Linked DNA regions of Yarrowia lipolytica. The protein of the gene in region 1 purifies or fractionates together with the protein of each later gene. This does not show direct contact. Links are inferred from orthologs where the notes say so. Each region holds a gene or a part of one and is shown in the gene's direction. Other genes may lie near its edges.

What was found. The genes of interacting proteins can lie anywhere in the genome.
Region 2: the proteins of YALI1_E23912g (region 1) and YALI1_F21583g purify together in Saccharomyces cerevisiae (affinity purification with mass spectrometry; 3 studies listed by BioGRID, with this or other methods). This does not show direct contact. The link is inferred for Yarrowia lipolytica from reciprocal best matches to the Saccharomyces cerevisiae genes ASC1 and PRT1.
Region 3: the proteins of YALI1_E23912g (region 1) and YALI1_B28292g purify together in Saccharomyces cerevisiae (affinity purification with mass spectrometry; 3 studies listed by BioGRID). This does not show direct contact. The link is inferred for Yarrowia lipolytica from reciprocal best matches to the Saccharomyces cerevisiae genes ASC1 and SCP160.

The regions. Positions count from the first base shown.
Region 1 is NC_090774.1:2,388,997-2,396,422, reverse strand, and holds YALI1_E23912g (40S ribosomal protein RACK1), read left to right. Parts: upstream 1-3,939; coding exon 3,940-3,982; intron 3,983-4,275; coding exon 4,276-4,787; intron 4,788-5,191; coding exon 5,192-5,611; downstream 5,612-7,426. Other genes in the region: YALI1_E23961g (uncharacterized protein), read left to right, coding at 334-930; YALI1_E23945g (uncharacterized protein), read left to right, coding at 1,932-2,504; YALI1_E23899g (uncharacterized protein), read left to right, coding at 6,503-7,426. UniProt on the Saccharomyces cerevisiae protein: Component of the ribosome, a large ribonucleoprotein complex responsible for the synthesis of proteins in the cell.
Region 2 is NC_090775.1:2,156,715-2,162,842, forward strand, and holds YALI1_F21583g (uncharacterized protein), read left to right. Parts: upstream 1-1,675; coding exon 1,676-3,829; downstream 3,830-6,128. Other genes in the region: YALI1_F21567g (uncharacterized protein), read right to left, coding at 1-13; YALI1_F21612g (uncharacterized protein), read left to right, coding at 4,496-5,614; YALI1_F21647g (uncharacterized protein), read right to left, coding at 5,931-6,128. UniProt on the Saccharomyces cerevisiae protein: RNA-binding component of the eukaryotic translation initiation factor 3 (eIF-3) complex, which is involved in protein synthesis of a specialized repertoire of mRNAs and, together with other initiation factors, stimulates binding of mRNA and methionyl-tRNAi to the 40S ribosome.
Region 3 is NC_090771.1:2,827,571-2,835,206, forward strand, and holds YALI1_B28292g (uncharacterized protein), read left to right. Parts: upstream 1-1,656; coding exon 1,657-5,337; downstream 5,338-7,636. Other genes in the region: YALI1_B28349g (uncharacterized protein), read right to left, coding at 6,248-7,303. UniProt on the Saccharomyces cerevisiae protein: Involved in the control of mitotic chromosome transmission. Required during cell division for faithful partitioning of the ER-nuclear envelope membranes which, in S.cerevisiae, enclose the duplicated chromosomes.

The DNA.
Region 1 (7,426 bases):
TACCTTCAACGCCACCAAGCCACGGGTGGTAGTATGCTACAAGTAGGTGTAATAGTGGCTTGAGCTCAAGTGTCTGCGCTGAGTACAAGTACGTACAATACTGCGCTTCATCCCATCCGGACATCACGTGACATGATACAAGGGGCCCCCCACCAGCCACATGTGCAGGGCCGTTTGGCGCCGTTGCGTTGTTGGACCCATATCCATACATTTGGGCTCTGAGTAATTTACAAGTAGCAACGGAAACTTGCACCGGCTATGGCATCCCAACATGCACGCTATGCACAGTGGCAAACCTACCTTTAGACGCGGATCTATTTTTCCCAGCTTGCCATGCTTAGATCAAGCCTTCTCCTCCGTCATTTGTCCTCCGCCACCGCAGCAATGCCCGCCGTCTCGCCCACTCTCAAGACCACCGCCTCCTCGGAGCTTCTCACCGTGGCCGCGGGCTGCTTTTGGGGAGTCGAACACATGTACAGAAAGCACTTTGCCGACAAGGGGCTTGTGGACGCCAAAGTAGGCTACTCGGGAGGAAACACGGAAGATCCTTCGTACCGAAAGGTGTGCTCGGGCACCACAGGCCACGCTGAGGCCCTGCAGGTGTCGTTCGAGCCCGCCAAGGTGTCCTACGAGCAGCTGGTGGACTTTTTCTTCAAGATCCACGACCCCACACAGGCCAACGGCCAGGGCCCCGATATCGGGTCGCAGTACCGATCTGCCATCTTCACACACTCGTCCGAGCAGCAGAAGATTGCCGAGGGCGTCAAGCAGAAGCTGCAAGACACGTGGTTCAAGGACCCCATTGCCACCGACATTGAGCCCATCCAGAACTGGTGGGACGCCGAGGACTACCATCAGGAGTACCTCTTCAAGGAGCCCGGTGGATACCAGTGCCCTACCCATTTCTACCGAAACACCCCTCAGAAGTAGACCACTGGACTACACATACCCATCCTTCAACAGACACATGACCTGGCCAATCGGCTTTTTATTTATGAATATATGGAGTCGGCTCCCTTCAACAGATATCGAGTGTGGTAGTACTTCTTGTACTGTATGTACTTGTAGAGGTTTCGTGTATGCTTGCGACTACTTCTAGCGACAGCTATAGAACCAGTGAGACTCCTGGTGTAAACGATTTTTCATCTGATTAATAAACCTGGCAACTTGTTCTAGTCTCAGAATATCTTCTCTAGCTGATGGTGATCGCATATGGGTGGAGGGAAGGTATGAGACCACTGTATGTACTACAGCTATGCACTGTACTACAGCTATGAACGTATATCAAGGAGTTATAACTACTACTTCTCAATCTATGAGCCCTCTTTGTTCTTTCGATGATCACTGTGGACAGGTTTATACCGACGCCTACGTTCAATCCGTCCAAAGCTGTGCAAACATGGCACGGGGCACTGTGCGAGAAAAGGGTCCGCGCTGAACACCTTACAGCAACGATACTGTGGTGTTTATCCCATCGTAAAGCCTATCGAAGCGAAATTGGGACTCTCTTATCACACTTCCAATCGGTATCGTGTCATATTTTGCTCTTCTGATAGATAAATGGTGGTTTAAAAATCGGCCAAAAAATCAATGGAATTTGGATATCATTGTCCAGACTGCCTCTGAAGTTATATTGCCTGCCATCATAGTATAGTGGTTAGTACACCACGTTGTGGCCGTGGAAACCTCAGTTCGATTCTGGGTGATGGCAATTAATTTTTTGTTTTGAGAACCGCCACAATGTGGTTTCCTGTCTCTTTTTTGATGATTTTAATCTAATTAGTTGTGATTTGGAAGTCGTTGCAGCATAATAAATGTCTTTCCATCGGCATCACTCATCTCTATTATGGTACTGCTTGTGCTTTTCTTCATCATGTCTGCACTATCGCTAGCTTAGACTCTGACCTTGCATTCATCACCACTCATACACCATGGCGGACGAAGGCAAGAAGGAAGAACCGATTGCGGTGGGGGACGAGTCGATGGAGATTGCGACGGAAACGCCGACGGGTGGAGCGCTCACTCTAGACGATAGCCACGCGACGGATCTGGCGACCCTTCCTATGGGTCAAGACGAGGTGTCTGAGCGGCTGGAATCGCTACACAAGACGGATATGAAGATTGCCAAGATGACAGAGACGCTGTCGAACGCGATTGATCTGCTGATTCCACGGTCGGAGCTGGATATCAACAGCTTTGAGCTCAAGGAGGGCGACAAGGGCTGGGAACCGGGCATTCAACAGGGTCTGCCCTCTCTTAAATCTGCATTCAAGGTCAACTCCATTGAGTTCCTACAGTCGCTGGAGGAGGTGTCGACAACACTGCGAAAGGAAATCAAGCGACTGAATGATTTTAGCCGCGACAAGGTGCTTCCCATTAACACGGACACCAAGGCCCAATGGACGTCATTGGAGAACTACGACAAGATAATTAACCAGATCAAGGGCATGTTGGGGGCCGAGGGGGCCGAGGAGGACAAGGATAAAGAGATGAAGGATGTTTAGAATGGATACTGTAATGATAAATGATAGCATGTTGTGAATGAGACTATGGACTGGCTGGTGCTGAGGTGCTGATCCGGGGAAAGTAAGGGCTTTCGTGAGATTGAACATACTGTTATACAGTCTCTGGCAAGAGTCTTTTCTTGAGAGGTATGCAGGACGAACTGGTATCAGTACCAGTAGCCCAGTGTATTTGACTGCTCCCCCTTCATGTGCTCACACTTTTGACATCCATTTATCATGTTCGAGTGAGAGACTTGGTGCAGTATGTAGCGTCTCTCCATGAAGATGATCGTGAGAAAAGTAAAAAGTAGTTGAAAGTGGTTGCTTCTTGTAGTTGTACACGACAATTTGTGCTGTTGGTTCGGTTCAATATGTCGTTCAACAGTTATATTACAAGCAGTAAAACTCACAAATCTGGTACAAGTACTCGTACATACAATACTTGAGGTTTTTTCCTTCTTCTCGAGGGGAGTATCATCCACAATTGCAGAGCTGTTGCCGTTATTCAGACCAGCCTGTGCGTCCACTGTGACCCAGCATCCCCCGTATATCTAAACTACCGCCGCAACATGTCATAAGGACTGGACCTGCGAGAACATGCCCATCGTGTTGTTGCTTTTGAAGATATCAATGTTCGGAGTTAACCGGAGTTGACAGTATGTACTCGGAGCTTGATCCATGATGATCTAGACATTGTGAATCATGGTCAATGTCGGAGCACATTGTAGCACACCAGATTCCCTCTATGATACAGATAGTATAAAGTCTGCCTCCTCAACCGGTATGGACTGCGCTGATGGTATTCTGGTCAGTGATTTCCCCTACCATAGCGCAGCATCTACTCTCGTACCGGTAGCGTTAGTTAGTTGTAGGCTGTCTGAGAGGGTGCTCATCGGTTCTTCCAGCCGAACTCCTTCATCTTCCCTTATTATTCAACCCTCATTATTCAATCCACCACGCTTGCTTGAACGCTCATCTCCAACACCTGATAGCTTCATCGTTGGTCTGCCCAGAATACTTAACTAGTTTGGTTGGGCTTTCCGTCCTACACTTTGAAACTACTTGACTTATAGTTGGACTTGCCGTCTAATTCACAGCCCTAGTTAAGCTATTACCTTGTTCTAATGGCAATACGAAGTCTGAAACCAGCATCCCGGCTATTGTAGAAGCGCCGCCTGGAATATTCCTCATCATTCGAGACAGTCGTGGTCGCCCACCATCCGATTGTGCATTTTGAATGCAAGCAAGCCACTTGTGAGGAGCTGGAATCGAACCCCGGTGACCTGTCTCACGTGACTACCTTCCCGTTTAGAAAAAGCGGTCACGAACTTTATTATGCAACCCACTCACGCAGCTTCTTCACCGCGCCCTTGATATCTTGTCATTTCCAACTGCGCGCAGGAAATTTCTCACGGTCCAGTTAGCATAATACAACATGAGCCAGAACGTTCTTCTTGTTCTCCGAGGAACCCTTGAGGGTGAGTGCTACTGAAGGAGGGAACACAACGACGGAACAATTCGACTCTGAAGGAATGATTGATTGGGGACTGGATGAATCAACGACAGAATCGACTGCTGGCACTGAAGGAGGACAAATACGGGCGACAATGAACGGCTTTGATCTGTAAAGACAAGGCATTTTGAATGGTTGAGAGCCATGATTGCTTCGAAAACACTTCTTTTTTCAGTCACTGTCAACTTGTTTGATTCGTGTTATTCACATACGTGGCCAGGCTTGGCGCAAACCTCCCCCGAAACTCCACTAACATAGGCCACAACGGCTGGGTTACCTCCCTCGCTACTTCTTCCAACAACCCCGACATTCTGCTGTCCGGATCCCGAGACAAGTCCCTGATTGTCTGGTCTCTGACCCGAGACGACACCAACTACGGTGTTCCCCGAAAGTCTCTTAAGGGCCACTCCCACATTGTCCAGGACTGTGCCATCTCTCATGACGGTGCTTACGCCATCTCCGGCTCTTGGGATAAGACTCTCCGAGTCTGGGACCTGAAGACCGGTGTCTCCAAGGACCGATTTGTCGGCCACACTGGTGACGTTCTTTCCGTCTCTTTCTCTCCCGACAACCGACAGATTGTCTCTGCCGGCCGAGACCGAACCATCAAGATCTGGAACACCATCGGCGAGTGCAAGTACACCATCACCGACAAGGGCCATGAGGACTGGGTTTCCACCGTCCGATTCAACCCCGCCACCAAGGACGAGGAGGAGCCCTCCCCCAACGCCAACACCATCATCTCTGCTGGCTGGGACAAGAAGGTCAAGGTGAGTATCAGACGACAAATACTAACAAGCAGAGCAGAGCAAAGCATAGCGCACATGTTGTGTAACCAAGGCTTTGCAACTTCACAAGTGATACCATTTTGGGCGTTCTGCCCCCAAACAGCATGATGATTTAACGGAAAAACATGAATATTTGCTACTTCAGAGCCCGAAAGGCTATGAGACAAAAATCCATATTATCTGATTTGTTTGGACCTTTGTGGAGTTGAAATGTGTGCCACAACATATGCTGTGCTGAACAAGTTGGGCTTGGTCTCTGGATGTTTTTGAGACTGTCTTCGACATCTTGATCATATCCTCAGGTCACTTTTGACAATCCCACGCTCTGGTACTGCTTGCATCCAGCTAGCTCATCGCTAGTGATACAATTGCACATACTAACTCAGGTCTGGGACCTCGATACCTGCACTCTCAAGGCTGACCACCTCGGCCACACCGGATACGTGTCTACCATCACCATCTCCCCCGATGGATCCCTCTGCGCCTCTGCCGGTAAGGACGGCTCTATCCTCCTGTGGGATCTGACCTCCTCCACCGCCCTCTACACCCTCCCTGCTGGTGATGAGGTCCATGCCGTGTGCTTCTCCCCCAACCGATACTGGCTCTGCGCCGCCACCTCCTCCTCCATCAAGGTCTTCGACCTGGAGAAGCGAGTGCTGATTGACGAGCTCAAGACCCAGACCACCTCCGAGGACGGTAAGGAGCCCGAGGCTCTGTCCCTCACCTGGTCCGCTGACGGCCAGAACCTCTTTGCTGGTTACACTGACAACGTCATCCGAGTCTGGCAGATCATGCAGTCTTCTTAAGTTACTTAGTTACTTAGGTCGTTGCGTAAAAATACTAAAATACATGTATGATATGGATGTAGTCGACACCCACACCAGGACCTTGTCCGAGGGTTGTCGGCGTATGTACTGTAATCGAATAATCTATCTATACAATGTACAGAGCCTCTGCCCGTTCCTGTTACAACAATGTATTATTTTTATTGTTTTTTTTCGTGGAATCATCATCCGTTATCAAGTAGCCTAGCTTTTTAACTAGTTTAATTGAAATTTGTTGGGATGAGAAGTCCGCAGGGGGTCCAAATCTGCTGTTCCGAAAACGGTGGAGTTTTTATAGGCACGTTATTCTATACCAAATACAGCATTTAATAACTAATATTCAATAATATACATGTTTTGTCATACAATTATGTTTCCGTTTGCTGTGAAATAAGTCTGCTTGTTGTCTGGAAATAGTTGACTTTTTACTTGAGAGGTTACGGTGAATGCGACGATGCATATATCCACGAATTTGCAACGATGACTATATTCCAAACAGTATTGAGTACAAGTACTTGTACAAATGACCCTTTCCGTGTGTTTTTTGGAGCGAATCCATCTATTTTTCAACGAATTTCCACCCCCGGTAGACTTATCTTCAGATCAGTATCAAGGTGAAAAATTGAAGCAAAAGTTTCGGGTGGTGGGGAAAAAAAATGTAACAAATGTCAGAAACGCAACTGAAAAAATGCCCTTTAAAAAAACAGGGATTTTCAAATCGACTCCGATGCCCCTCCAGCCTGTTTATACCTTCCATGCCCTCTCTTTGCTATGCTGACTCACTGTTGTCTTGTCTCCATCTAGGTTCTTACCCTAACATCTGAGTTGCAACATCTCTCTCTCACATATCACCAGGCGCAAAACGACCCGAACATGGCCAGAGACCCGCTAATTGGAATCGTCGGCAAGCCCAGTAGCGGCAAGTCGACCACTCTCAACTCGCTAACAGATGCAACCGCCAAAACAGGCTCGTTTCCCTTCACAACCATCGACCCCAACAAGGCCACGGGCTACCTGCAAATAGATTGTGCCTGTGCGCGGTTCAAGGTCCAGGAGAAGTGCAAGCCCAACTACGGCACATGTAAAGATGGACGCCGTTTCGTGCCTATCATGCTGCTAGATGTGGCTGGTTTGGTACCGGGAGCGCACCAGGGCCGAGGACTGGGAAACAAGTTTCTGGACGATTTGCGACATGCTGACGCTCTGATCCACGTGGTGGACGTGTCAGGAACAACCGATGCCGAGGGCAAGAACACGCGAGGCTACGACCCTGTCAATGACATTGAATGGCTTCAGGATGAAATCTTCCGGTGGATCGAAGGTAACCTCAAGGAGAAATGGGGATCTATTGTTCGAAGGCACACCTCTACCAAGAGCCATATTGTGGACACACTGCAGAATCAGTTTTCCGGTTACGGATCCAACAAGGATATTGTCCATCGGGCAATCGACAAGCTGACTCTGCCACCCATGGAGGAGTGGGATGATGATAAGATCAGTGAAGTTGTTCGGGCTTTCACCAGGGAAAAGTTCCCCACCGTTCTGGCTCTCAACAAGATGGACCATCCCGATGCCGATATGAACGTATCCAAGATCATGAAACGACATCCTGATGTTCCCTCGGTTCTCACTTCTGCCATTTCCGAGGTGTTTATCCGAAAACTCGCCAAGCAGGGCTACGTGCAGTACGAAGAGGGCACCGAGTTTCTTGACACGGCCGAGGATCTTCCCGATGCCGGTCTCAAGCCGCTGGACGACAAGCTCAAGGAGCGGGTCGAAAACGTACGAGACCTGGTT
Region 2 (6,128 bases), on another chromosome or scaffold:
CTCGTTCGCTCATTTCGTTCTAGCAAGGGACTTATAGGCGAATTATCCAATTATCGGAGACCGAAGACGTTGCACGTTTCAGCATTCGACAGATGCTGCACTGCACGGAAACCCTAACCCGAAGGGTTTAATGTCGTGTCAAACGCGGCCTGGAAATCTCCTTTTTGGAGAGATTGGTCACGTGTATGATAAATAATTCCCACGTGATGCGGTGTATAGCAATGGTGTATCTTTTGGCAGGCCCTAGGTCTTATCTGGATTGGTCAAAGGTGCGGTTAAGCGAAAACTTTAAATCACGGGTTGTGCTGGAGTTTTAACTTCTGGGGGAGGACAACACAGGTTATGAGTTTGGGAAGGAGACGAACTACACGTGGGGACGTACAGTAACCGAGAAAGTCCTCCCTATGTTGGAGTCCTTTAACTTTATACTCTCGTGCATATTCATTTCACGTGACTTGAAGAATCATGACATTCTCGACTGTAGGTTACTTGCTTGTACTTGTATGTCCATTGTAGCTTGGGGGCTTTGGCTCGATATACCTGTGAGTGCGGTCACGTGACTTGTCAGGGGGTAGAAATAAATCTGCTGTACAAGTACAAGTACAATTGCCACCAGTATAGAGTCTTATTCCCGAACGAGACTGCTCCTTGGCTCTTAAAGGTTAGGACGGCTATGGAGAGCCCATTTAACCTGTTTAATGATGTCGACAGAAGGTCAACAAAGGTCATTTGGCATATGTTCTCTTAGAGGAATCGGTGTTTCAGATGGCAGATTATACATGGGTGGAGGGGTTAAAAAGCGCTACTGGGGACTTTTCCTGAAGGAGGGGGCTTATGACTACTTGTACTTGTATCTTGTACTTGTATCTTGTACTTGTACTTGCACCACCACGTTGATTTGCATTCAAGAAAATCAGATGTTACGAGACTGTTCGTCACTTGGTCCATGAGTGGACTGTCTATTTGAGAGATGCTTGGAGACTGCAAGTACCAAAAATAAAGCAGTAAGAAACTATTGAAATACTGTTTTATACGATTGAAGTACTTACGGTACGAAGACGGTATGTACTTGTGATAGACCAAGCTTGCTCAAACATTCTTCAACAAACATTCTTTAATAATGTTAACTAAGATCCTTGATCCAAGTAAACCAAACAAGACTTCAGTACAGACTTCAGTACAATATATACAAACACTGATATCTGATATTGTCGTTAATTATGACCACTTCTGAAAACCGCAACTCTTCCATACGTTACACGCTCGACCTACTTGTAGACGTGCTCACAATTACCGGTTCTTGTTATTCCACTCACTCTCACAGATGGCACCAAGCAACCCCGACTCAACCCCGACTCATTCTCAGAGAACGATTCAACCTGTCTAATAATGCACCGATCTCAAATCAGAAAACTGCACCCCCCTCATATCACACACGTGTCAATATTTCGCGTCCATGATATCCATATCACGTGACCAACCCACGGTATTGCTAATAGCCACCAGAAAACAAACTACTGTACAGTATGCACATGAGCTCGGTCCTGATCCTGATGCTGGGTCCATTAACATTAAGGTTTGTGTTACCCTCTCTTGGTGAAAAAAAGCTGCGTGTGCGATTTGAATCAAAGGGTAAAATTATAGGCCCTTCATACCACCACCACCACCACGAAAAATGACTGTGGAGGATAACCTCGATATTGACTTTTCCGATCTGGAGGAGAAGTACGCTGTCAACGCGGACGAGGGCTTTGAGTCTTTCATCGTTGTCGATGGAGCTCCTGTGATTCCCCAGGCCAAGCAGGCAGCCCTGGCCAACGTCATGAAGAAGTTCTTTGGCGCTGTTGGCAAGATCAAGGAAGACGGCATCTTTATTCCCTTCGACGAGGCCACCGGTAAGTCCACCGGATTTGTCTTCATTGAGTACGAGACGGGCGAGATGGCTGCTGCTGCCGTCAAGTCTTTCCACAACAAGCAGTTTGACAAGAACCATAAGCTGCTTGTCAACAAGCTGTCCGAGGTGGAGAAGTACGGCATGCAGTACGACACTCTGAAAACCGAGGAGTTTGTCGAGCCCGAGACCGAGCCTTTTGTGGAACAGGGACATCTGCGAAGCTGGCTCATGGACCCCCAGGGCCGAGACCAGTTTGTGCTCCATCGAGGAGACACAGTCGGAGTCTTCTGGAACAAAAAGGGTGATACTCTGGAGGCTGACGTTGACCGAGAGCGATGGACCGAGACCCAGGTCTACTGGTCTCCCACCGGTACTTACCTTGTGTCTACTCATACTCAAGGTGTTCAGCTGTGGGGTGGCCCCGACTGGGCTCCTCCTATCTGCAAATTCCAGCATCCCAACGTCAAGATGGTGCAGTTTTCTCCCTGCGAGAAGTTCCTTGTCACCTGGTCTAACGTTCCTCTCGTTCTCCCTGATGACGAGGAGAAGCGAAAGAGCATTCCTTTTGGCCCCGCTGACGAGGGCAAACAGATCATTGTATGGAACCTCGAGACTCGACTTCCCGTCCGAACCTTTGCTATGCCCCCGGAGAAGAAGGGCGCCTCTATGTCCTGGCCCATTCTCAAGTTCTCTCCTGACGACAAGTACGCTGCCCGTATGATCCCCGGAGAGCAGCTGTCTATCTACGAGACCGAGACCATGTCTCTGCTGGATAAGAAGTCCGTCAAGGCTCCCGGTATCGTCGACTTTGAGTGGGCTCCTGCTCTTGTTAACCTGGAGGGACGACAAAAGTCCGCCACTGAGTCTGTTCTCTGCTACTGGACTCCTGAAATTGGCAACCAGACCGCTCGAGTGGTCCTCATGAAGGCTTCCAACAAGGAGGTGCTGCGAACCCGAAACCTGTTCAACGTGGCCGATTGTAAGATCCACTGGCAGGACCAGGGACGCTTCCTGTGCGTCAAGGTCGACCGACACACAAAGTCCAAGAAGTCTACCTTTACCAACCTCGAGTTCTTCCGACTGTGCGAGCGAGGAGTGCCCGTCGAGGTTATGGAGCTCAAGGACACCGTCACCAACATGGCCTGGGAGCCCCACGGAGACCGATTCGTCACCATTTCCAACTCGGACTCCACCACCAACTACGACGGTCCTCTGCCCGCCAACCGACACACTCTGTCCTTCTACGCTCTTGAGCGACACAAGGGAACCCAGGGCACATGGAAGCTGATCAAGGCATTTGACAAGAAGAACTGTAACTCTCTGTTCTGGTCCCCTAACGGTCGATTCCTCATCACTGTCATGATTGAGGGCTCTAACTCTATCGATCTCGACTTCTGGGACATGGACTACGAGGGTGACCGAAAGCACGGTGACAAGGATCTTCCTGCCAACCTGCACTTCCTCGGCTCGTCCGAGCACTACGGTATCTCTGCTCTCGAGTGGGATCCCTCTGGACGGTTTGTCGCCACCTGGTCTTCCTACTGGAGACACCACACCGAAAACGGATACAAGATCTGGGACTTCCGAGGCCAGCTGCAGCGAGAGGAGTCCATTGACCGATTCAAGCACTTTTCCTGGAGACCCCGACCCCCTACTCTGCTCTCCAAGCAGCAGAAGAAGGATATCCGAAACAACCTGGAGGAGTACTCTCGAAAGTTTGAGGAGATCGACGCCATGGAGGCTTCCGAGGCTTCTCGAGAGCTTATCATGCTGCGGAAGCGACTGCTCGAGGAGTGGACCGCCTGGAGAGCCCAGACTGACAAGAAGCTCGAGGAGCTGGGTCTTGTCGAGCCCGAGCCTGCCGAGTCCGAGTACACCACCATCGAGGAGATCAAGGAGGTTGTTGTCGAAGATAAGGAGGAGGTTTGCGAGTAATCTATTCGTGAACTATTAAAATCGGTCGTCGTATGCGACCATAAGCAAAGAGTTTAAAACTACTTACGATTGTATGAGAGATGTTGTAGACAGGGTGTCCATTGTGTGCCCTAGATATCGTATTGTACTGGTGCAATACCAGTAGTATCGGTCAAGGAAAGTTGCAGTAAGTAGGTACTGTACATACTGTAACATTAGTAGAGAATATACATACGACAACTTGTACAGTACCCAGAATACTTCTCATATACAACTCATTGATACTTGGGTGCCAGTGGTAGTGTACAAGTATAGGCAGCTGGATCAACAAATTGTTGCTTCAGTGTTGTATGAGAGATTATATATAGTCTTCGCCTGAATCCTGCCTCTACCGCCCGATGTTTCACTTCTGCAACAGTAGCAGCCAAAAAAACGTATACTTGGGCAGCTAGAGAGAACACTCATTCCCATAGTCTTGCTTTGTCGATGTTACTCCGCCAACAAAATCAGATTGGCTTGAACATACGCCTTGCATATTCTCTCAACATTCGCCCTATTGCTTACCGTTCAACATCAGCTCTCATAGCTCCGGCACTAGTTGTACAGTAGTTCCAGCAAGATCATCTGCGATCTAAACTTTTTTCAGTTTTTTTTTGGACCAGCATCTCACCACTATACAAACACATCATGGGCAAACGAAGCGGATCAGGAGACGCCAACAAGCGCAACAAAAAGGCGCGGTACTTGCCCGGAGCCATCAAGAATGTGGAACCCCGCTACCAGGGAGTGTACGTAAGTTACACCCGAGGCAAGGAAAACATGGCCAAGAACGAGGTGCGACTGATGATGAACGAGTGGTGCGACAAGCTGTATGGAACGACTGTGGTGGAAAACGACGAGGAAGGCGACGACATTGAAGACGTGGACGACATTGATAAGGCCATGGCTGCCGAGGTGGCTGCCATGAAGGATACCAAGAAGGATCTCATCACTCCATTGCCTCTGGGATGTGAATGCATGTTATTTGTGCGAACCAGAAAGCCCGTGGTGCCCGTGGACTTTGTCAAGGCCATCTGCCAAGGAGTCAAGGACACTGGAAAGAAGTCCACTCGGTTTGTTCAGCGTATGACTCCCGTCACTCTGACTTGCAGTGCTAGCAAGCCCGAGCTGGAGAAGCTGTGTGATATTGTTCTGGGTCCCCACTTTCACCTGAAGGAGGGTCAGAAACCGCTCAAGTACGCCATTCGACCGACGATGCGAAATTTCGACGGCATGAACCGAGACGAGGTTATCCAGTCAGTCGCTTCTCGAGTGGGCCAGGACCACGGCCATTCTGTCGACCTCAAGAACTACGACAAGCTCATTCTCGTCGACTGCTTCAAGGCCTCCATTGGAATGTCTGTTGTTGGCAACGTTGAGGAGTACGAGGGACTTGCCAGATTCAATATTGAACAGCTGTGGGAGCGACACAATGAGGCCGAAACAGGCACCAGTCGAGTCAACAAGACCGACCAGACGGTGAAGGACATAGAAGATGAGGCCGAGAAGGCCGTGTTGAAGGAGGAGATTCAAAAAGAGGCTGATGAGACCGAAGCAAAGGCTGAGAAGGCTCTCAAGGAGCTGGACGAGCTGAAAAAGGGAAACAAGGATTTGGAGGAGGACAAAAATAAGACGAGCATCCAGGTCGATGAGCTGGAAAAGGACGCTGAGAAAAAAGTGCTCGAAGGTGAAGTTGATGAGGTGATTGACGAGGCCAAAAAGGTGAGAGAAGATGTCCGGGACTTGAGAAAGGAAGTGTCTGAGTAGTTTATATTTAGTATTTATGATATCTGTCAATGACAGAGTGACTGGAGCGAAGATGTATGCTTCTGACACTTGAAAGAAACCATATGCTATGCCATCTGTAACAAACGACAAGAACATCTAAAATTTACGGTGTATTGTATGTAATATACCTACAGTATATACAGTACGAGCACTGGACTGTACTGGTAGTGGGTGTATTATTATTGTTTCATGCAATATATTCATTATTCATAAGGTGTCTATGTAAAAGGTTGACACATGCAAAAGACTGTTAGTAGCGATGGTTGTTGTTTTTGGTTTTGAGTGTGGTCACTCTCTATTGAGTGTCACTAACAAGGGCTTCAGCCAGAGATTCAAAAACAGAGGAGGTCAGAACCTGACGAATAGAGGCACGCTCCTCAGGATCCACGGTCAAACACTTCTCCAGAAGCTCAACCCAGTCGTCGTTGCCGTCACCCAGCTTGCTCTTAAGAAGCTCCCGGTCCCATTGAGCGTTCTGAATGAGACCTCGAAG
Region 3 (7,636 bases), on another chromosome or scaffold:
ATACGATGTGAAAAAATATATCCATGTCCAATCCCACACCACTCCAGATAAGTTCTTGTCCACGTTTCAGGATTTATTATCAGCAGACTATTACGTCACTTTTCGGATTCCCACACTCTCACTACTTGTACAAGTAGCAGCACAAATAAAGAGGTCCTATACGGTCCTGACCTGAATCTGACTCTACTTTCATCCTTTGAGCTAATCTCATGATGATCGATCTGAGCAGAAAAGGAAGAAATATGCCGTGCGCTGAGCGATGATCCGTTTCTAAAAACACGACCGAAGGTGTTTCATGTTTCACAGCGTGCAAATCAAAATAGTAGCCAAAAAAAACTGAGGTTTGCGGGCTCAACAGAAGGTGAGACGAGGTTCTGATACGTAAGTAAATATAATTGGAGTAAGTTGAGACAAATGATTATCATGAAGAGTTTGCTGAAATGATCATACCACGATGAATTTTAAGATGTATTAGCGTCATTTTCTCATCTCACGTTACATAACCATGTCCACTTTTTTGTGACAAACAACGGGTTTCGCTTATATAATCACGGAGATCTGAAAATACATAATCTAACATAACGAGATAAACAAAAACGTTTATCGCATATATTATTACTTTAGGTAAAATTTCGAGTCAAGTTTTTCCCCCTTAGAAAAACTCCGACACATATCGAAGCATTATCCACTCTGAAAAACTCGTCCAAAAATCTGGTCACGTGATTTCGGTGATATTTCAGATCCTATTGATTCAACGCAAAAATTTTATAACCGGCCGTGTGGTCTAGTAGCTATGATTCTCGCTTTGGGTGTGAGAGGTCCAGGGTTCAAATCCCTGCTCGGCCCTTTTTTGGAAAATGACATTACAAAGCTTTTTGCTTCTGCAGATGACGATGTTAGTGCGTTACAGTCATCTTTGCGACGCCAAATTTTTGCCGCGCCAAATCGGACTCATTCCTTCTCAACCATGATTATCACCATCATCGTCGTGAAATGTTGAAATATATATAAGCTCAGAGTTTCTCGGGCATCATGCAACACGAGGGAACAGAAAGTATCGTCAGAATATCGTCGTATATAGTTGTTGCAACTACAATGGAAGTTCTGCTCTGTCATTCACCACTGTTTCTTCTGGTCCGTATGTCGTTGCTCTACTTCTGAGCAACATTCAAGCACTTTTGACAGGTGTTTGGGGCTCTGTGCATTGCATCATGCTGTATTAGGGTAGCCCCCAACCAGTCGTGTCGCTATGCACAACGTGTCACCTCCACAAGACAAGGTTGGCGTCTATTTTTCATCCCCATCAAAAACTCTCTCTACCCCCAAAACCCCGTTTGGAATACAGAACTTGAAGAGTTTTGTTTGTCTGGTCCCCTCCCTGTTTGTTTGTTTGTTTTTGTTGAAGTGAGTATGAATTGAGACCGAGGATCCGAGTGTTGATGCCGCAGAGGTTGCGTTATGGCTAAACAGTGTCTCATTTGATCTGTTTCCATGGAGACCAAAAAGGAGATGCACAAGTGGACACAGTCCTTGTACACTGGAGCATGCCCTGGATAATTCATTGAATCAACTGACATCTGCCGGATCTCATTTATACATGTTACACCAACAGTTATCTGATGTGTGTGCTTGTGCCACACAAGATGCTGTCAAGACATGACGACCCCCACCACCACCCCACTAACACAGATGTCCGACCTGTCCCCCGCTGAGCTTCTCCGGCAACGACATGCTGCCGTGAGCGCTGCCGCCGAGCCCACCCTCACCGTTTCTGAGGGCTCTCTGTCCAAGGAGTCTTCTCCCGTTCCCGAGATTGCCCCTGCCGCCCCCGTGAAGTCTGTCGCCGGTCCCTCCGCCGCCTCCAAGCGAAAGGGTCTCGATATCAACTCTCTCGAGGCTTTCCCCGCTCTTAATGGTGGTGCCGCTGCCCCCAAGGCTGTTTGGGGTAAGGGAGGCTCTGCTCCCGCTGCCCCCTCCCCTCAGTCCTTTGGTCGAGCCGCTTCCACCACTATCTCCGATGTCTTCACTCTCAAGCGAGAGGAGCAGCAGGTTGGTGTGCGATCCGAGCTGCCCAAGATCATTGCTAAGGTCAAGGCCAACACCTCCACTACCATCGACTCGTCCACCTCCAAGATTACGGGCCACACCTCCTTTGTCATCAAGGGTACCCCCGAGAACGTGGCCAAGGCCCGACGTGAGCTGCACCGAGCCCTGTCCCAGAAGATTGTCGCCAAGTTTGAGATCCCCGCTAGCGTGCGAGCTGCTGTGATTGGCCCTCGAGGTTCCAACCTGAAGCCCATTCTTGAGAAGTCCGGTGCCCATATCCAGATTGAGAAGCTCGAGTCCAACGGCAACAACGCCGACGACGACGAGGAGACGGTCGAGGTCATCGTCGAGGGTGACTCTGAGGGTATTGCTATTGCCAAGCAAGAGATCTTTGCCATTGTGTCCGAGCGAGTCAAGAACATGACCATCCGAGTTCGAAACGTCAACTATGTGCTGTTCCCCTTCCTTGACAAGACCGCCGGAGACCTCACCAAGGGCGAGGACGACGTCAAGCTCAGCATCCCTGATATCTTTGCTCCCAACTTCACCACGGCCGCCACCATCACTCTGTCTGGCGACCGAGAGGCCACCGCTACCGTCAAGGAACGACTTGAGCGTCTTGCAGAGTCTCTGTCCACCGACCTTATCACCTCCACCGAGTCCTTCCCTGCTTCCAAGCACAAGTACATTTCTGCCAAGGATGTCTTTGCCGCCACCTCCGTGTTTATCACTGTGCCCCAGGCCCCCAACACCTCCGATGACACCGTCAAGTTCCTGGGTCTGCCCAAGGACATCAAGCCCGCCATGAACAAGGTGTCTGAGCAGGTTAACTCCGTCAAGATTGATCTTTTGGACATTTCTCGAGCACATGGCAAGAGCGTGCCCCATGCCCAGGCTTTGGCTTCTTACTTCAAGGCCTCTGGTATGCTCCAGAAGATTGCTGACGAGTACAAGGTCGAAATCTACATCCAGCAGCCCGATCAGCTCTACGCTCCTGGCGCCCAGGCCGTCACTATCGAGACCTCTGGTCCCAACGAGGAGGCTGTCAAGGCTGCCCGAAAGGCCATTGTGGCTCTGGTAAACAAGTACGAGCCCTCCAAGGTCTCTCGAGTGTCTGACATTGATCCTTTTTTCCTGCGAAACCTCGCTGGCCCCAAGGACCGAAACCTGGCCAAGTACAAGAAGGACCACGGAGTCACTGTCCTGGTGCCCGAGAACCCCAAGGTTAACGGTGACGTGATTCTCATCTACGAGGGCACCTCTGAGGAGGATGATTTCGGCCCCTCCGCCGACGAGATCAAGGCCACCTTTGCTGCTGTCGACTCTTCCTTTGCCGATATTCGAGAGAAGCAGGCCAAGATCATTGGCAAGCTAATTTCCGTCCCCGTTGGCGAACACAAGTTTGTCCGAGGTCCCGATAACACTACCCTTCGAGCCATTGTTGGCGGAACCGAGGGCCACGAGCCCTTTGTCCGAGTCACCTTTGGTGACGAGATCAAGGACGCTGAGGAGCCCGTTTCTGCGGACTCCATCTACGTGCGGGGTCTCAAGGATGAGGTCACCCGAGTGCTCAAGGAGATCGAGGAGGCAGTGGAGGACGGCAAGAACTATGCTGTTCTGTCCCAGTACACCACCGAATTCCAGATCCCTCCCGAGCATGTCAAGCATGTTGTTGGCAAGGGCGGCTCCCAGCTCGCCAAGTTCCGTGAGTACGGCGTCAACATCGATCTCGACGAGTCCGGTCAGGGTGTTGTCAAGGGTATCAAGAAGAACGCCGACGAGGCCAAGGTTCAGATTCTGGCTTTCGCCAAGAAGATTGCCGACGAGGTCAACGTCAAGCTTCCTGTGCCTGCTGACCACCACGCCTCTCTGATTGGAACTGGTGGCAAGTTTGTCAAGCGACTGGAGGAGAAGTATGACGTTCGAATTCGGTTCCCCAAGACCGGTGAGGAGAACGCCAACGAGATCGTCCTTCGAGGTCCCTCCAAGGGTGTGGCGAAGGCCAAGGAGGAGATTTTGGATCTCGTAAACTACGAGATTGAGAACTCGCACTCGCAGACCATTTCCGTCCCCGTCAAGTCTCTGCCCCGAATCATTGGTCGAGGCGGAGAGTTCATCAACGACATCAAGGACTCCACCAACACTCGAATCGACGTCAAGCAGGAGAAGTCGGATAACACCGACGAGACCGGCAACGTTGACATTGAAATTGTTGGTACAAAGGCCGGCGTCAAGGAGGCTGCTGCCAAGATCCAGGCTATCGTTTCTGAGTTCCAGGACACTGTCATTGAGCACATTGAGGTGAACCCCAAGTTCCACGGTGCTCTGATCGGTCCCGGCGGTCAGACTCTCAAAGACATCCTCACCAAGGCCGGTATGACCGACGTGACCCCCTCCGTTGCTGCTCGAACCGTTGCTGTTCCTGCTGCCGGCACCAAGGATAACAAGGTGCGAGTCCAGGGCTCCAAGAAGATTGTGGCCAAGATTGTCAAAATCATCCAGGACATGGTTGCCGAGCGGGAGTCCCAGATCTCTGAGGTTGTTGATGTGCCCGTTTCCAAGCACCGAGATCTCATTGGAGCTGGAGGTGCTGCCAAGCGATCCCTCGAGGAGAAGTTCAAGGTTACTCTGCAGATCCCCAAGCAGGGCGCCAAGAACAAGGATGGAGAGCTCGACACCGGCGTCTCCATCACCGGTAAGGCTGAGGATGTCGCTACCGCCAAGGCCAAGATCCAGGAGCTGTCCCAGGACAAGTGGAAGGAGGAAATTCTGGTCCCCCGAACCTTGCACACCACTGTGTCCGACAACGGAAACCTGCCCCGAAAGCTCAAGTACGAACTCAAGGTTAACGTTGACCACGGCTCTGTCCGAACTCCTCGAGACGGCAACCCCGTTGTCCCCGCTGGTGCCATTGGCTCCGATTCTGAGGACAAGGACTCGTTCCGATGGTCTGTTGTCGAGGACGCTGTCGACCACGCTGCCAACGGCACCATCCCCTGGAGGCTTGAGGGCTCTGACGAGAACGTTGCCAAGGCTAAGGCCATCATTGAGGCTGCTCTGGATGTTGCTCTCAAGCACACTCAGACCGGATACCTGTGGCTCCCTGACACCTCTCGATACCGATTCCTGGTGGGTCCTCATGGAGCCACCGTGTCTCACATCCGAGAGAAGTCTGGCTGCAAGATCTACATCCCCAAGGCTGGTGTTGCTGACTCTGCCGTGACCGTGCGGGGCTCCCCCGAGGGTCTGGAGAAGGCCAAGGAGATGATGCTTGCTGCTCTCAAGAAGTAAGCTTGTGTTTGTTTCAGGGATGCAAAAAATGTACTGCGGGTACGATTCGGTAGTATTTAGTATTTAGTATTTATATCATTTGAGATTGTATGTTGTGGTGCGCACACAGGTCGTCTGTTGTGCGTATCGTAGTGTGTGTTGGGATATTTGAAGTGTTCTCCAGGCCCACAGTGGTTCGACTATGGCCGCCGGAGCCCTTATAATACTCAATTCTGTAACCCTTCTGATATAGGAGCTCCATCTTTAGTGCGCCTTTCAAGTGAAACATTTGGGTAGATAGAACCATTCATACAAGCATCATCGAATTCAGTAAATGTAAGCTTTGTCGCCAGTAACTTGTTGGTCATCCATCAGCAAACCAGCTGTCGCCGCTGTGCCGGGTCACCTGAGTTTGATTATGATGTTCGCTTGTCTGAGAGAGCCCCATGTTCCAAATATGCTGGTCGTGTATACATAAAACTATTTTTTTACAGCACAAGTACCGGTCCGGTACTTGTAGTCAGTTACTCAAGAAAAAATCATCTCATCTCGTATATGCTCGTATTTAATTTAGCTTCCGGGTTGTCGTAATATGTAATCCTATTTTTAAATTACGTCAGCAATGTTAATCTGGAGAAGCCATGTTATTAACAATGTTTAGAGATAAATTTAGGTCTATATTCTCATATAGTTTTACCTAACTAACTGTTTATCATGCTTGTGAGCCACAATCCGCATTCAAAACCTCATCTCACGTGACCTGTTTTCCCCGCGCATTATCGTCTCGTGCAGGTGCATATGGGTAAACTACTGTGTCTTACAATTGTACTTTCTACACAATGCATGTTTATGCGTTTAGCTCTACTTGTACTTACTTAGCTACTGGAAACTGTAGCTCCCCCTCCCCCTATCTATGTTAGTTGTTACCATTTTAAAACTTGCCCTTCTGCTCAGGAACAATGGAGATAACCTTTCCAGTATCAACAAAGCTCTCGAGGTTGTCCAGAACCGCCTTCTCCATCTTGAAATGGGTCTCGTGGGACCAGGTTCCCATATGAGGCAGAAGCAGGGTTCTAGGGTGTTTCAAAAGACCTTCTTCAATGGCAGGCTCTCGCTCGAATACATCGAGACCGACTCCTCCAATCTTTCCAGAGTTTAGACCGTCCACTAGGGCCTTCTCGTCGCAAACAGGGCCTCGAGCGGTGTTGACAATGATGACTCCGTCCTTCATTTTGGAGATGGACTCTGCGTTGACGAGGTGCTTGGTAGCAGCATTAAGAGGCACGTTGATGGAAATGACATCGGCCTTGGAAAATAGATCTTCAGGCGACTGGCAGTAGACAGAGTCCTTTTCCAGCTCGGGGGCCAGGCGATTTCGGTTGTAGTACAGCACCTTGCTGAAACCCAGAGGAGCCACGTAGTCTCTGATTTCTCGGCCGATTCCGCCCATACCGAGAATTCCGAGAGTCTTGCCGGAGATGTCGTTGCCCAGGGCCACTCCCTTGAGCCATTGGCCCTTTTGCAAGTTGAGAGCTCCGTCTCCGAAGTTTCGCAGGGTGCCGATCATTAGATACAGGTTCGTGAGAGCAGTCGACTCGTCGGCCATGGACTGCACGTTGCTGACCTGAATGCCTCTTTCGGAGAAGAAGGGCACATCGATCTGGTCATAGCCTGCTCCGTAATGGCAGACAGCTTTGCAGGACTCAGGAAGAGCCTTGGCCAGCTCCTCGTCGAACCGGCCGGTCTTTTTGACACTGATGAAGGTTCGGAAGATGGCATTGATGTCCTTGTAGGTGTTTTTGAGGTCCTTGAGAAACGATTCTCGGTCAGTTCCATCCTTGAGAGTCACCACGTCGGCCTTCTTCTTGAGCTTTTCAAACTCGTCTTTGGCGTCCACCACGTTGTCAAGGAACAGGATCTTCTGTCTTTGGGTCGAGTACAATCGGGCGAGCGACTGTCGCGCAAACTGTGGTCGGATACGGAGCATTGTGTGTTGCAATTGAGTGTGTTGTTGGATGCGTACTGTACTATTAGTCTGGGGTTAGCTCCTTGGGTACTTCCTCCTTTAGGTTGACCCCCACGCTAAGCGGAGCACCCCCACAAGGTCATTGGGACTTTTGAGGGCTCTATCCTCAGGCTTTTATTGGTGGCCCACATGAGTCAAAGTCTGACTCAATAGCACGCCCACACACGCACTTGTGCGGTTACAATTGACAGTTGCAGGTTTTGTACGAGACGGGGTACCACTCCTTACAGTTACACACAGGGCATGTAACTCGAAGAAAGAAGACGTATAACCACGTATAAATGCGCAATAGTG